Linked DNA regions of Cricetulus griseus. The protein of the gene in region 1 interacts with the protein of each later gene in a pairwise test. Links are inferred from orthologs where the notes say so. Each region holds a gene or a part of one and is shown on either strand. Other genes may lie near its edges.

Region 1 (4,203 bases):
AAGAATAATAATAAGTCAGTAAATGGTGAATAAAAACCGATCAAAGTCAACCTCTTGCCTTCTTGTTGAAGGAATGACTGTGGAGAACAGCCTCATCTGTCTTCTTTTCCTTTCTTTTCTTTGCATATGCTCTTTGACCATTTATTTGTTCATTCAACCAAGGAAAAGAGTCTACCTTAGGCAGCATGCCAGGCCTACACAGGGAAGGGACAGATCATTCAGCTTGATCCACCTCACAGAAAGGCACAGGGACTGGAAACTCCGAGGAGGAGACTAACCCAGACTGGAGGGTCAGAAAAAGCTTCCCTAGCCAAACAAAAATGAATCCAGGAAGGACTTTTGGGAATAATGATTAGCCCAATGAGGGGTAGAAGGTCAGAAGTAGGGTCTGTCTGTGGAAATCCCAGCCTTAGGGAACAGTCTTTGAGATAACTAAAAGCACTTTGGCCATGTTGGAGTTGAGAATTTATGAAACGGGGACAGTACTGCTAATAAAATAGGCGTTTGTTTGTTTGTTTGTTTGGAGACTGGGTGTTTCTGTGTAGCTTTGGAGCTTATCCTGGCACTCGCTCTGGAGACTAGTCTGGCCTTGAATTCACATAGATCCACCTGCCTCTGCCTCCCTAGTGCTGGGATTAAAGGCGTGCCCCACCAACGCCCTGCTGTTGGGTGTCTTTTTTTTTTTTTTCAAGACATGGTTTGTCTGTGTAGCTCTGGCTGTTCTAGAGCTCACTCTGTAAACTAGGATGGCCTTGAACTCAAGAGATCTGCCTGTCTCTGCATCCCGAGTGTTGGGATTAAAGGTGTGTACCGTGGAGATCCAGATTTCTTAAGATTATTCTGTGGGAAGTACTGAGAAGCTACTAGAAATTTTAAGTGCAACTATATGGCATTAAAAAACAAAAATCCTCAACCATTCAAAGGGTTGGGGGGGGCAATGATGAATGCAGGGAGACTGAGAATCAATCGACTGCAAACGTTAGATTGAGGGGTGGTGGGACTGGAAAGAAATGAAACAATCTGATAATCTCTTAGCTGTGTGATGCCGGGAGGGTAGAACAGAGATAGGAAACACAGGGCGTGGCATTAAGTGTGGACTTTATTCTGAAAGGATAAAGAAGAAGCTGTTTAAACACCTCAGCTATCTGCCTAATCCATTCACATGCGGGCATATAAACATCACCTCGCAGACAGAGTGAACAGTCTTTGAGGACGCTGCGCAGGTAAGGGACCAGCCTCACGCCGCGAGCCGGCAGGGTGCAGCCGGGATACAGAGGGGCGCCCGAGACTGACGGACACACAGTCAGCACCTTAAACTCAGCACCACGCAGGGGGCGGGGAGCAAGGAGCCCGAGGCGGGGCCAGAGCACGCACGGCGGCGTGACGTAGGCCCGGCTGGCCTCGTTCTGGCTGCCGCCGCCGCGCTAAGGCGGAGTAGGATGAGGCCCCAGGCCGCGGCTCCAGCGTCGGCAGGGGCAACAGCCGCTGAGGCAGCAGCTGAGGCAGCCGGGACGGCCGCGCCCCCCCCTCCTGACCTGGATTAGGCCCAGCAGCCCCGTGGCCGCCGCCGCCTCGCGGGGGGCGGGGTGGGGGAAGCGCTCCGTCTCCCCGCCCCCGCCCCCCTCAGGCTCCCGGCGCGACCCCGGCGCAGCCCGCGGCCTAGCCTCGCGCCCCCTGCCCCGGGGGCTGGCATGAGTGGCCCCTCGGCGGCGCCGGGGCGCGGGGGAGCCGCCTCCTGAGCCCCGGGCCTGCCGCCTTGGACCCCGCGGCGCCGGGCGAGCTCACCGCTGAGTGTGCGGGAGACCGGGTCACAGCTTTCTTCCTCCCCCAGATCTCACGCACACACCTCAGCCCCGGAAGATGGGGAACTGCCTCAAATCCCCGACCTCGGATGACATCTCCCTGCTTCACGAGTCTCAGTCCGACCGGGCTAGCTTTGGCGAGGGGACGGAGCCAGATCAGGAGCCGCCGCCGCCATATCAGGTACGGGAGGGTGTGTGTTGGCGTGAGAGGAGAGGTGGCTCGGGCCCTCTGCCCTTGGCCTCCACGGCCTGGCCTCGGGGGGCGTTGACCCCTTCGGGGCTGGTCTTGAGGGTGTCTGCTGCCCAGTCCCCGACTAGAGAAGGATCCTTCTTGCCTTCCCCTTGGGCACCGTTTGGGGACGGTGTTCTGTCCTTGAGTTCAGGAATCAAACTATGTGATCATATCCCCTTGGCTAGTGTCTGGTAGTTAGCTTGTAGAGTTAAGGATGACATGGTTTTCCTGCCTTTATGTCTTGAGTTGTGTGATTTCCTCAACAGACTGCCAACAGGATTATGGGTTGTGGGTAGGTTGTCACCCCCCCCCCTTTATAATTGTGTTTTCGTTTATAGTCCTCCCTACTCCCACCCTATCTTTGTTAATTGGTTCGGGAGAATGTCTTTTTACCATCTACTTGGGGAGGTAGAATTCCAAGTGGGAATTTTAGCCTCAGCTTCATAAAGAGTTACTTGTTTATATATACATACGTGGTAAATTTTAAGCTCCTCCTGTTTTTGCTCCACCCCTGTGACACACCTTTTAAGTAAGTTGATTTAATAAAACCTTGATTATCTTGAACTTTAGAGACCTTTCAGACATCTGTTACTTAAGGCCTTCTCTTTATCAAGACTCTTGAATGAGTCTTTCTCAGTGATAACTGAGTAAACTCCCAGGTGGGCTTGAATGCAATTCTTCAGTATTTTCCTGGAGAGAGGTGGGTTTTCTAACTTGGCAGTCTCCTTTGTTTTTTATGTGGTGACATCATTATCTAGTTTTGTGTTTTCCTTTCTCAATTCTGTGTAAACCAGTTTCCCATCATGTGATCACATACGCTGATTTTCTGACCCTCTTCAGGGGTCTTCCATGCACATTAGTCCAGTCTTCATTGTAGCCTCTACATTTCAAGCTTACCAAACCAGGCTGTTGACAATTCTGACAATTTCGTCTTCACTCCAGGTGATCTTGCTTCTAGGAGCCTTTGCCCCAAGGTTGCCCAGGTGAATATCTAATCCTCTTCAAGGACTCAGCTCACTATCTAAAGTTCTGACATTCCCTTCCTGAATTCCTGGAGGTGTCCCCCACAAACCTTCCACACTTATATAAGCAATACCCTGCCTATAATAGTTTAGTATCTTTGTTCAGGCAGTTGTGTGTCTCATCCTTGAAATATGTGTTCCCCTCCCCTTGTATAAGCTGAATTTGGGACATTTTCCAGGTGCTTTTCTACCCCAGCATCTGACTCATAGTAGATGCTCAATAACTGAGATAAATGAAGAATAGAAGCTCTGTTCTCACTGTTTCATGCAATTCCTGTCACATAAAAATGCAGTGTACCCCATTTCTCCCAACTTGTTTAAATTGCTCCAAGAGCAGACTTTAATACTAAATGGGATCTGGAATTGAACTGAGAGCCTTGTACATGCTAGCAAAACACTACAACAGAGCTATAATTCCAGTACCACCACCACCACCACCACCACCCTTTAAAAAACAAAACAAAACTGTTTCATGAAGTCACCAGACAGGCCCTCAACTTTCTGTCCTACTGTCTCCGCCTCCAGAGTTGCTAGAATTAGAGGCCTATACACCACTAGGCCTTTCTCTCAGGTATCTATAGCTTACTGTTTCCCCCTCTACGATAGCTACTCAAATGTATTAATTTAGGTGTCATGAGCAAACTTTTTCCTCCCAAAATCTATGCTTCATAGCCTCTTTCTAGGAAAATTGAATACCTGACTTGTTTTCTCTGTTAGAGTTTATAGAAACTATATTTTTGTCCTTTCTAGAGGGACTAGGTAGATCATGATGGGTTTTGGTATTTCCAGTATTTTTTGGAATGTGTTATTTTTGACAGTGGAAATTGTATTGTGGTTGCCTTTTCCTGAAATGAATGAGCGACCCGGATACTGATATGCAAAGTTAGTATCAGAACATAAAAAGAGAATTTTAGTCTGGCATGGTCGCTCATGCCTGTCATCCTAATGCTTGGAAGGAAGGCTGGGGCGGGAGGATTGTTTGCTGACAGCTCTACATAGTGATGTCTGTGCTGGTCTGGGCTATAGAATGAAATCTTATCTCAAGAATTTTTAAAAGAAAGCTGTAGAAATAATAATGCCTCCTTGAAGTCTATACTGTATTGCTAATATTTGTTTCTACATGACTTGGAAGCTAAAAGAAATAGTA
Region 2 (3,946 bases), on another chromosome or scaffold:
CATCAGGGTTGTGACATTAGAAATAAGTGTAAATGTCAAATTGTCACAGGTCCGAGGATTCTCTGTCTCAAACTTTCAACTTTCCATTGAGATCAGCCTTCTAACAGATTTACAGGGGAGCTGAGCCAGAGTCTGTTAGACCTGGAACTCTATGTTGCCTGAGTTGGACTTCAGCTTTAGATCCCCTTGCTTCTGTCTCTACCTTTATCACCTAAAGGTTGGGATTACAAAACACATGTGACCACACCTCTCTCAAAATACTTTTCTTTCTTTCGTTTTTTAAAAAGGTCTCTTTGAGTAGTACTGGTACCCACTGTGTAGACCAGGTTGGCCTCTAACTCAGAGATCCTCCTGCGTCTGCCTCTGAAGTGTTGGGATTAAAGGTGAGTGCCACTATTGTTCTTTTGTTTCAAATGCTAGGATAAAGCTGAAAGGGGGTCCTGCGTGGGGGACCGTGGCAGATTCCATGGCTGGCAAGGGTGACCAAGGCGGGGGACAAACATGCCAGGTAGATAGAGCTTAAGTGAGAAGTTTCATTAGAAAAGGAAGGGAGGGGGCAGGGAAGGGGAAGGAAAGAGAAAAGAAGTAAAGAGACACAGAGGGAGGGCAGAAAAGCAGAAAGAGAGGAGAACGGAAGAGCAGAAGAGCCATCACCTAAGAGAGAGCAGGAAAAGCAGAGAGGAGAGCCGGAAAGAGCAGAAAGAGAGCGTAAAATCCGCCTGCCTCTGCCTCCCGAGTGCTGGGATTAAAGGCGTGTGCCACCGACGCCCGGCAAAGCAAAAATTTTTTTAGCTGAATTTGTTGCAATTTTTTTTTCTTTTGGCCCTAAGAACTTTGGAAACTTTGGTTAGGAGATACAAAATGTAGTTCTAAGAGTACTGAGAGAATAATTATCAATATTACTGCTTGGATCTTGCTTAGCGAGTTCACTTTTGAGCCAGTGACTAACCAAAATTTTCACAGCCTACACGGATGAAACCACCTTAGACTGGTGGAGCTGCGACAAGCAGATAGGGCTCGACTGCGCGCGCGCGCAGCTCCCGGAAGCCCCGCCCAATCGAGAGGGTGCTTGGGTAAGGAGGGCCGTTTTGGCGGGGAATTGTGACGTCTGTGGACGTGTGTACCTGCTCCTGCCGCCGCCAATGAATGGGCCGGCGGCGCAGCGGATCTGAGCGGCTGGGTCTCGGGACCCTCCGCGAGGCGACCAGGAGCTGTAGCGCGGGGACTGTAGCACTGCCTCCGCCTCAACGGCGAGACGGAAGCCTAGCGGCGGCCCGAGCCCGACCTCCGGGCGGTACGAGGTGCTCTCGGAGCGGCGGTCCCCGCTTCGGGACCCGGCAGTCCCGGCGGCCTCGCCCGAAGAGGCGGGTGCTCACCCGCTGAGGTGAGGAGGGGAGCTGGAGCCGACTGTCCGCCCCGCGGGGAGCCGGAACCACTCACCGACCCGAGCCGGCTGCGCTCTCGAAGGAACGTTCGTTCATTCCCTTGCTGGACGCAGGGCATAACTGCTCGCCTGTTTGCCTCGAGCCTCGGGAAGGTCAGCCTGTCTGGATTCCAGTACGCTGCCTGTGTGTCAGAGTAAATACCAAACCGCTCGCCGGCTTCCTTCGTACCGTGGTTAGCCGAAAGGCTGGTTTCTTTGAGCTCTTGACGTTGAGTAGGCCTCGTGAGCGTCTGGAGATGGCGGCATCCAAAGAGGCCATCCCTTCCTTAGCAGAGTGTCAGTGCGGCATCTGTATGGAAATCCTAGTCGAGCCGGTAACCCTTCCCTGCAACCACACGCTCTGTAACCCGTGCTTTCAGTCAACTGTTGAAAAGGCCAACCTGTGCTGTCCCTTCTGTCGCCGCCGGGTCTCTTCGTGGACTCGGTATCATACCCGAAGAAATTCTCTTGTCAATAGAGACCTGTGGGAGATTATTCAAAAACACTATGCAAAGGAGTGCAAGCTTAGAGCCTCTGGGCAGGAATCAAGGGAAATCAGTGAGTAAAATTCAACATGGTTTTGGGGTTAAAAAGAAAAAAAGCCCAAAATGGTTTAGAGAGGTATCCATCACTTTTCTATTTAAAGAAAAAAGGTGTGTGGGGGAGGAGGGAGGTGGTGGCGCACGCTTTTAATCCTTGGGAGGCAGAGGCAGAGGCAGGCGTATCTCTTGAGTTCAAGGCCAGCCTGGTCTATAGCGCTAGTTCCAGGACAGCCAGGGCTACACATAGAAACCCTATCGGGGGGGGGGACGGGGGGGGGAGAAAGAAAAGAAAAAGAGGACTAACTAGTCTAAATTGACCTTGGGGATTTGTGGTTTTGTGAACCCCGCCCCCATATCGGTTAAAGGCAAAGGCAAATTTTTTTTATCACCTGTAATAATGCTCAAGTTGTGTTCACCAGCTGTGAATTGAGTTTTTAAAATTGCAAAAAAAAAAAAAAAGAATCGCCCCTTTAGAGTTGTCTAACTTCTCAAAGAATTGTGTGGTCAAATTCCAGAGTTCTTTGGCTTTGCATTACTTTCTCTGACCTGTTTATTAATTTCCTTCATTTTATGCTCCGTCCTTAGTATGCAGCAAGCCAAAAATAGATTCCAATTGCCAGTTCCATCTAGTTCAGTCATTTTTGGTTGACCCCTTCCATTCTGGGGGTGCAAAGAGCTACAAACTGATCCCTAGTCTTTAACACTATACCAGTATTACAAGCCATTCAGTATTTCCTTTGGGGCCTGAATGTGGTGTTGGTCTGTAGAGTACCTGCCCTTTATGTGTTTCAAAACACACACACACACACACACACACACACACAGAGGTGACTGGGAGTGGTGGTGCACACTTTTAATCAAAGTACTCAGAGGCAGGGGCAGGTGGATCTGAGTCCAAGGCCAGCCTAGTTTACAGAGAATTCCAAGACCTCAAGGGCTACACAGAGAAACTGTGTCAAACAACTAAACCCCCACAAAATTTCCCGTCTTAATCATTTTAAGCAACAAATCTTGAACAAGAAACCCCCAGTTTTGTAGAGATGCATATGGTAATAGTCGCCTATTTAAAATACTGCTTAAAGCAGGGTGTAGTCCTGCATGCCTTTAATCCAATCACATGGGAGGGAGAGTCCAGAAGTCGGATCTCTAAGTTGAAGGTCAGCCTCCTCTCTTTATTTGAGCTCCAGAACTACAACAGAGACTTTGTCTTAAAATGGCACACACCTTTATTCCCAGCACTGGGGAGGCAGAGGTAGGTGGATCTCCAAAGTTCAAAGCCAACCAGAGAGAGCAAGCATTATGTGCATGCAGGAACCCTTGGAGATCAAGAGAGGCATCAGATCCCCCAGAACTACAGTTAGGACAGTTGCAATCAGAAATTTCTTCTTATTCTTTTTTTTTTTTTAAGATTTATTTATTTATTATGTATACAGTGTTCTGTCTGCATATATCCCTGCAGGACGGAAGAGGACACCAGATCACATTACAGATGGTTGTGAGCCATCATGTGGTTGCTGGAAATTGAACTCAGGACCTCTGGAAGACCAGCTAGTGTTCTTAGCCACTGAGCCACCTCTTTAGCCCAAATTTCTTATTTTTTTTTTAAAGTTCACTTGATAAATAAAAATAGCCAAGATATCAAGAGAGCAAAAGGCAGCCCACAAAATAGAAGAAAAATATTTGTAAATTATAGATAATAAGAAAACAGACAGCAAACATTTGTAATTCTAACACTTGGAAGGCTGGGGCAAGAAAGAGGTCTGCTGCAAGTTTGGGACCAGCCTACGCTATGTCAAAAGAGTCTGAAAATGGGGCTAAGAAATGGCTCATCAATTAACAGCACTTCTCACAGAGGGGACTGGGTTCAATTCCCAGCACCCTCACCAGGCACCTCCTTATAACTCCAGCTGCTGAGGATCTGAGGTCCTGCCCTCTTCTGGTCTCCATTGGTGCTTGCATGCCTGTGCTGAACATAAAACTC
Region 3 (4,093 bases), on another chromosome or scaffold:
TACATTGTTATTTCCTTTACTCAGTAATGCAAAAGATAAATAGGTTAATCTTTGCCACCACTATTGTCTGGCTGTCAGTTTTTACCTACATTCTTGTCTGGAAATATATTTGTTGTTTTTAAAAATTATAAATGCAATGCATACTTATCCATCAAATTGAAAATCTGATAAAAATAGAAAATAAGAATTATTCACAATTTCAGCTCTAATTGTTACCTTTACTGGAGTACAGCCTTTCAGATTTCTTTTCCACACAGGCTACTAGCTTTTTGATCAATATCTACATGCCTGTATTGTTTCCATTTGTTTAGAAAAAATATTAACCCATATTAAATACCATCTATTATTTTCTCGTCACTACAGTGCATTTTGATGTACACTTTTAGAGACACTTAATATTACATGAATTAGCCACCATCTTTTAGATACAGGGATTATTTTATTGTATGGCACTATCGTAGTATGTTTGAGTAATTCTATGTTTTACACACACATTGAAAATATCTAAACACTGTTTTTAAATGCTACGTTATTAATATACATCATAATATGCTTTTTTGAATCGATTAGGTATTTCTAAACAAAGGTGCAAATATTCAAAATGTTCATTTGTATTTTCAAACTGCCGTATTACAATTCATACTACAACTAGCATGAGAGTGCATTTTCTCGGCTCCTGGTCAACAAGATTTAACATTCTCTTTCATCTTTGCAAATATGATAAAGTCGAAGTAAAATCTCATTGTTTTTATTTGAATCCCTTTGATTAATAGCGAGCACAATCATATTTTAGAAGCCTGCTGGCCGTTTTTTCGCTTCTTTTGTAAAATGCTCGCTCCCGCCATGCCTGCCCTTCCCCCATCCGGGTGTTCGTTTTCCCTTTTTGCTTTGTCAGAGTTCTTTACTATTCATTTTTCGTCCTTTGCATGGGATCGGTTCAATTCAGGCTTTCATCCTTTCACTGCCTCCCAGATTGCGAACCCACATTCTCCATTGGTCTTTCAGGGGCTGCTAAAGAAGCTGCCTCCCTCTTCCTCCTCCCGGCCTCCTCCCTTCCCCCTCTCCTCGCCTCGCCTCGCCTCGCCTCGCCTCGCCCGGGTCCCCTCGCTTTCTCTTCCAGCCTCCTTCTCTTCCCCCTCTCTTTGTTTATTTCTCTCTCCCTCCTTTCCCCCCCTCTGCAGGCCAGGAGTTTTGCACTCGGCCGAGCGACTGTGGCTGGGCTGGCGCCGCGTCAGCAGGGGGCGGGGCCGGGCCGGGGCGGGGCGGGGCGGGAGCGCGGGCACCGCAGCTGCAGGAGTTGCTGGGAGTGCGCGCGGACAGATCACAAGGCGGCGGCGGAGAAGGCCTGGAGACCTGCTCGCTCAGCGCTCGGCCGCGGCCTACGCCAAACCCTGTGCGCATCCGACTACCGGGAGCTGCAGCCTCCATTCATCTCCGAGGTACTGTGTTCCGCACTGCTCGCGGGGCCGCCCAGTCCTCTGCTGCGGCGCCTCCTTCCTTCCTCTTTCCCTCGCGCCCTCTCGCTCGCCAGCGCCTTCCCTGCCAGCCTGCGTCACCGCGGCCGCCATGGCTGAGAACGGCGAGAGCAGCGGCCCCCCGCGCCCCTCCCGCGGCCCTGCCGCTGCGGCCCAAGGCGAGGCCACCGAGCCAGCCGAGCCCAAAATCATCAAAGTCACTGTGAAGACCCCCAAAGAGAAAGAGGAGTTCGCGGTGCCCGAGAATAGCACCGTCCAGCAGTTTAAGGAAGCGATTTCTAAACGCTTCAAATCGCAAATCGATCAGCTCGTGCTGATTTTTGCCGGAAAAATCTTGAAAGATCAAGATACCTTGATGCAGCATGGCATCCATGATGGACTGACTGTTCACCTTGTCATCAAAAACCAGAACCGCCCTCAGAGCCAGTCCACCACGCAGCCTAGCACCACTGCGGGAACATGCACGACCACCACCACCACCACGGCCGCAACAGCGCCAGGGGCGCCAACGGCGCCAGCGTCGACAACGGCTCCCAGGAGTCTCTCCACACCTTCTCTCACGAATAACAATCCGTTTGCGTCGGGGACCCTGGGAGGACTTGCTAGCCTTAGCAGCCTGGGTCTGAACTCGACCAGCTTCACTGAGCTTCAGAACCATATGCAGCAGCAGCTCATGGCTAGCCCTGAGATGATGATCCAGATCATGGAAAATCCCTTTGTTCAGAGCATGCTTTCGAATCCTGATCTGATGAGGCAGCTCATTATGGCCAATCCGCAGATGCAACAACTGATCCAGAGAAACCCAGAGATCAGTCACCTACTGAACAACCCAGATATAATGAGGCAGACTCTCGAAATCGCCAGGAATCCTGCCATGATGCAAGAGATGATGAGAAATCAAGACCTGGCTCTCAGTAATCTCGAAAGCATCCCAGGTGGCTACAATGCTCTGCGGCGCATGTACACTGACATTCAAGAGCCCATGCTGAATGCCGCACAGGAGCAGTTTGGGGGTAACCCCTTTGCCACGGTGGGGAGCAGTTCCTCAGGGGAGGGCACCCAGCCTTCCCGCACAGAAAACCGGGATCCACTGCCCAATCCTTGGGCACCAACGCCAGCTACCCAGGGCTCTCCGACCAACACCACGACCACAAGCAGTGGCACTATGCCTGGCGGTAGCTCCTCTAGTAGCACCTTCGGGAACACCATGGCGGCAGCTAATTATGTTGCTAGCATCTTTAGTACACCAGGAATGCAGAACCTGCTGCAACAGATAACTGAAAATCCCCAGCTGATTCAGAATATGCTGTCTGCACCCTACATGAGAAGCATGATGCAGTCGCTGAGCCAGAATCCAGATTTGGCTGCCCAGATGATGATGAGTAGCCCACTGTTTGCTTCAAATCCTCAGCTGCAAGAGCAGATGCGTCCACAGCTCCCGAATTTCCTGCAGCAGATGCAGAATCCAGACACGCTTGCGGCCATGTCAAATCCGAGAGCGATGCAAGCGTTAATGCAGATCCAGCAGGGGCTACAGACACTAGCCACTGAAGCACCTGGCCTCATTCCAAGCTTCGCTCCAGGTGTGGGGGTGGGAGTCCTGGGAACCACCATAACCCCTGTGGGCCCAGTCACTCCCATAGGGCCCATGGGTCCTATAGTTCCTTTCACCCCCATAGGCCCTATTGGGCCTATAGGACCCACTGGCCCTGCAAGCTCTCCTGGATCCACCGGCACTGGGGTCCCCCCTGCAACCACTGTGAGCAGCTGTGCAGCTACTGATACCATCAGTCCGACAATGGAAACTTTACCCAGCCCGCAGTTCATTCATCAGATGGTGCAGGCTCTGGCAGGAGGAGGAGCAGGACCAACTCCTGCCCAGATGGCGAGTGCAGAAATGAGATTTCAGCAGCAACTGGAACAGCTCAACGCCATGGGGTTCATAAATCGTGAAGCAAACTTGCAGGCCCTAATAGCAACAGGAGGCGACATCAATGCGGCCATTGAGAGGCTGCTGGGCTCTCAGCCATCGTAATTACATTTCTGTACCTTGAAAAAATGTATCTTATTTTTGATAATGGCTCTTAAATCTTTAAACACACAAAATTGTGCTTTACTTTTATTTTGATTCTTTTAAATCTGTCTACTTATAAATCTAAAAGGATGCATTTTAAGGTGGAGTCCCTCCCTTCTTTCCCTTCCTGCTCCTCCTCCTCCCGCCACCCTCCCTCCCACCCTCTCTCTCCCTTCCCTTCCAGCCTGCCCTCTCCCCTCTTTGTTTCCTTCCCTCCCTTCTTCTTTCCTTCCTTTTCTTCTTTGGATTTCCTTCCTTCTCTGATTTGAATGGTGGGGATCAATGCTGTTTCACTCAAAGGTGTTGCATGCAAACACTTCTCTTTATTCTGCATTTATTGTGATTTTTGGAAACAGGTATCAGCCTTCACAGTTGGGTGAACAAGTTCTGTCCTACAGATGTCCAGTTTATTTGCATTTTAAACATTAGCCTATGATAGTAATTTAATGTAGAATGGAGATATTAAAAAAGAAGCAAATTATTTGAAGCTCTCTAATTTGTGGTAAAATATTGCTTATTGTGACTTTGGCATGTATTTTTGCTA

The links.
Region 2: the proteins of Rnf11 (region 1) and Rnf168 interact in binary tests that used the Homo sapiens proteins (3 or more experiments, as listed by UniProt). The link is inferred for Cricetulus griseus from reciprocal best matches to the Homo sapiens genes RNF11 and RNF168.
Region 3: the proteins of Rnf11 (region 1) and Ubqln2 interact in binary tests that used the Homo sapiens proteins (3 or more experiments, as listed by UniProt). The link is inferred for Cricetulus griseus from reciprocal best matches to the Homo sapiens genes RNF11 and UBQLN2.

What each region holds. Positions count from the first base shown.
Region 1 is NC_048595.1:40,350,325-40,354,527, forward strand, and holds the start of Rnf11 (RING finger protein 11), read left to right. Parts: upstream 1-1,403; 5' UTR 1,404-1,860; coding exon 1,861-1,983; intron 1,984-4,203. UniProt on the Homo sapiens protein: Essential component of a ubiquitin-editing protein complex, comprising also TNFAIP3, ITCH and TAX1BP1, that ensures the transient nature of inflammatory signaling pathways. Promotes the association of TNFAIP3 to RIPK1 after TNF stimulation.
Region 2 is NC_048597.1:57,245,463-57,249,408, reverse strand, and holds the start of Rnf168 (E3 ubiquitin-protein ligase RNF168), read left to right. Parts: upstream 1-1,146; coding exon 1,147-1,294; intron 1,295-1,384; coding exon 1,385-1,981; intron 1,982-3,946. UniProt on the Homo sapiens protein: E3 ubiquitin-protein ligase required for accumulation of repair proteins to sites of DNA damage. Acts with UBE2N/UBC13 to amplify the RNF8-dependent histone ubiquitination.
Region 3 is NC_048604.1:111,414,374-111,418,466, forward strand, and holds the start of Ubqln2 (ubiquilin-2), read left to right. Parts: upstream 1-1,293; 5' UTR 1,294-1,566; coding exon 1,567-3,510; 3' UTR 3,511-4,093. UniProt on the Homo sapiens protein: Plays an important role in the regulation of different protein degradation mechanisms and pathways including ubiquitin-proteasome system (UPS), autophagy and the endoplasmic reticulum-associated protein degradation (ERAD) pathway.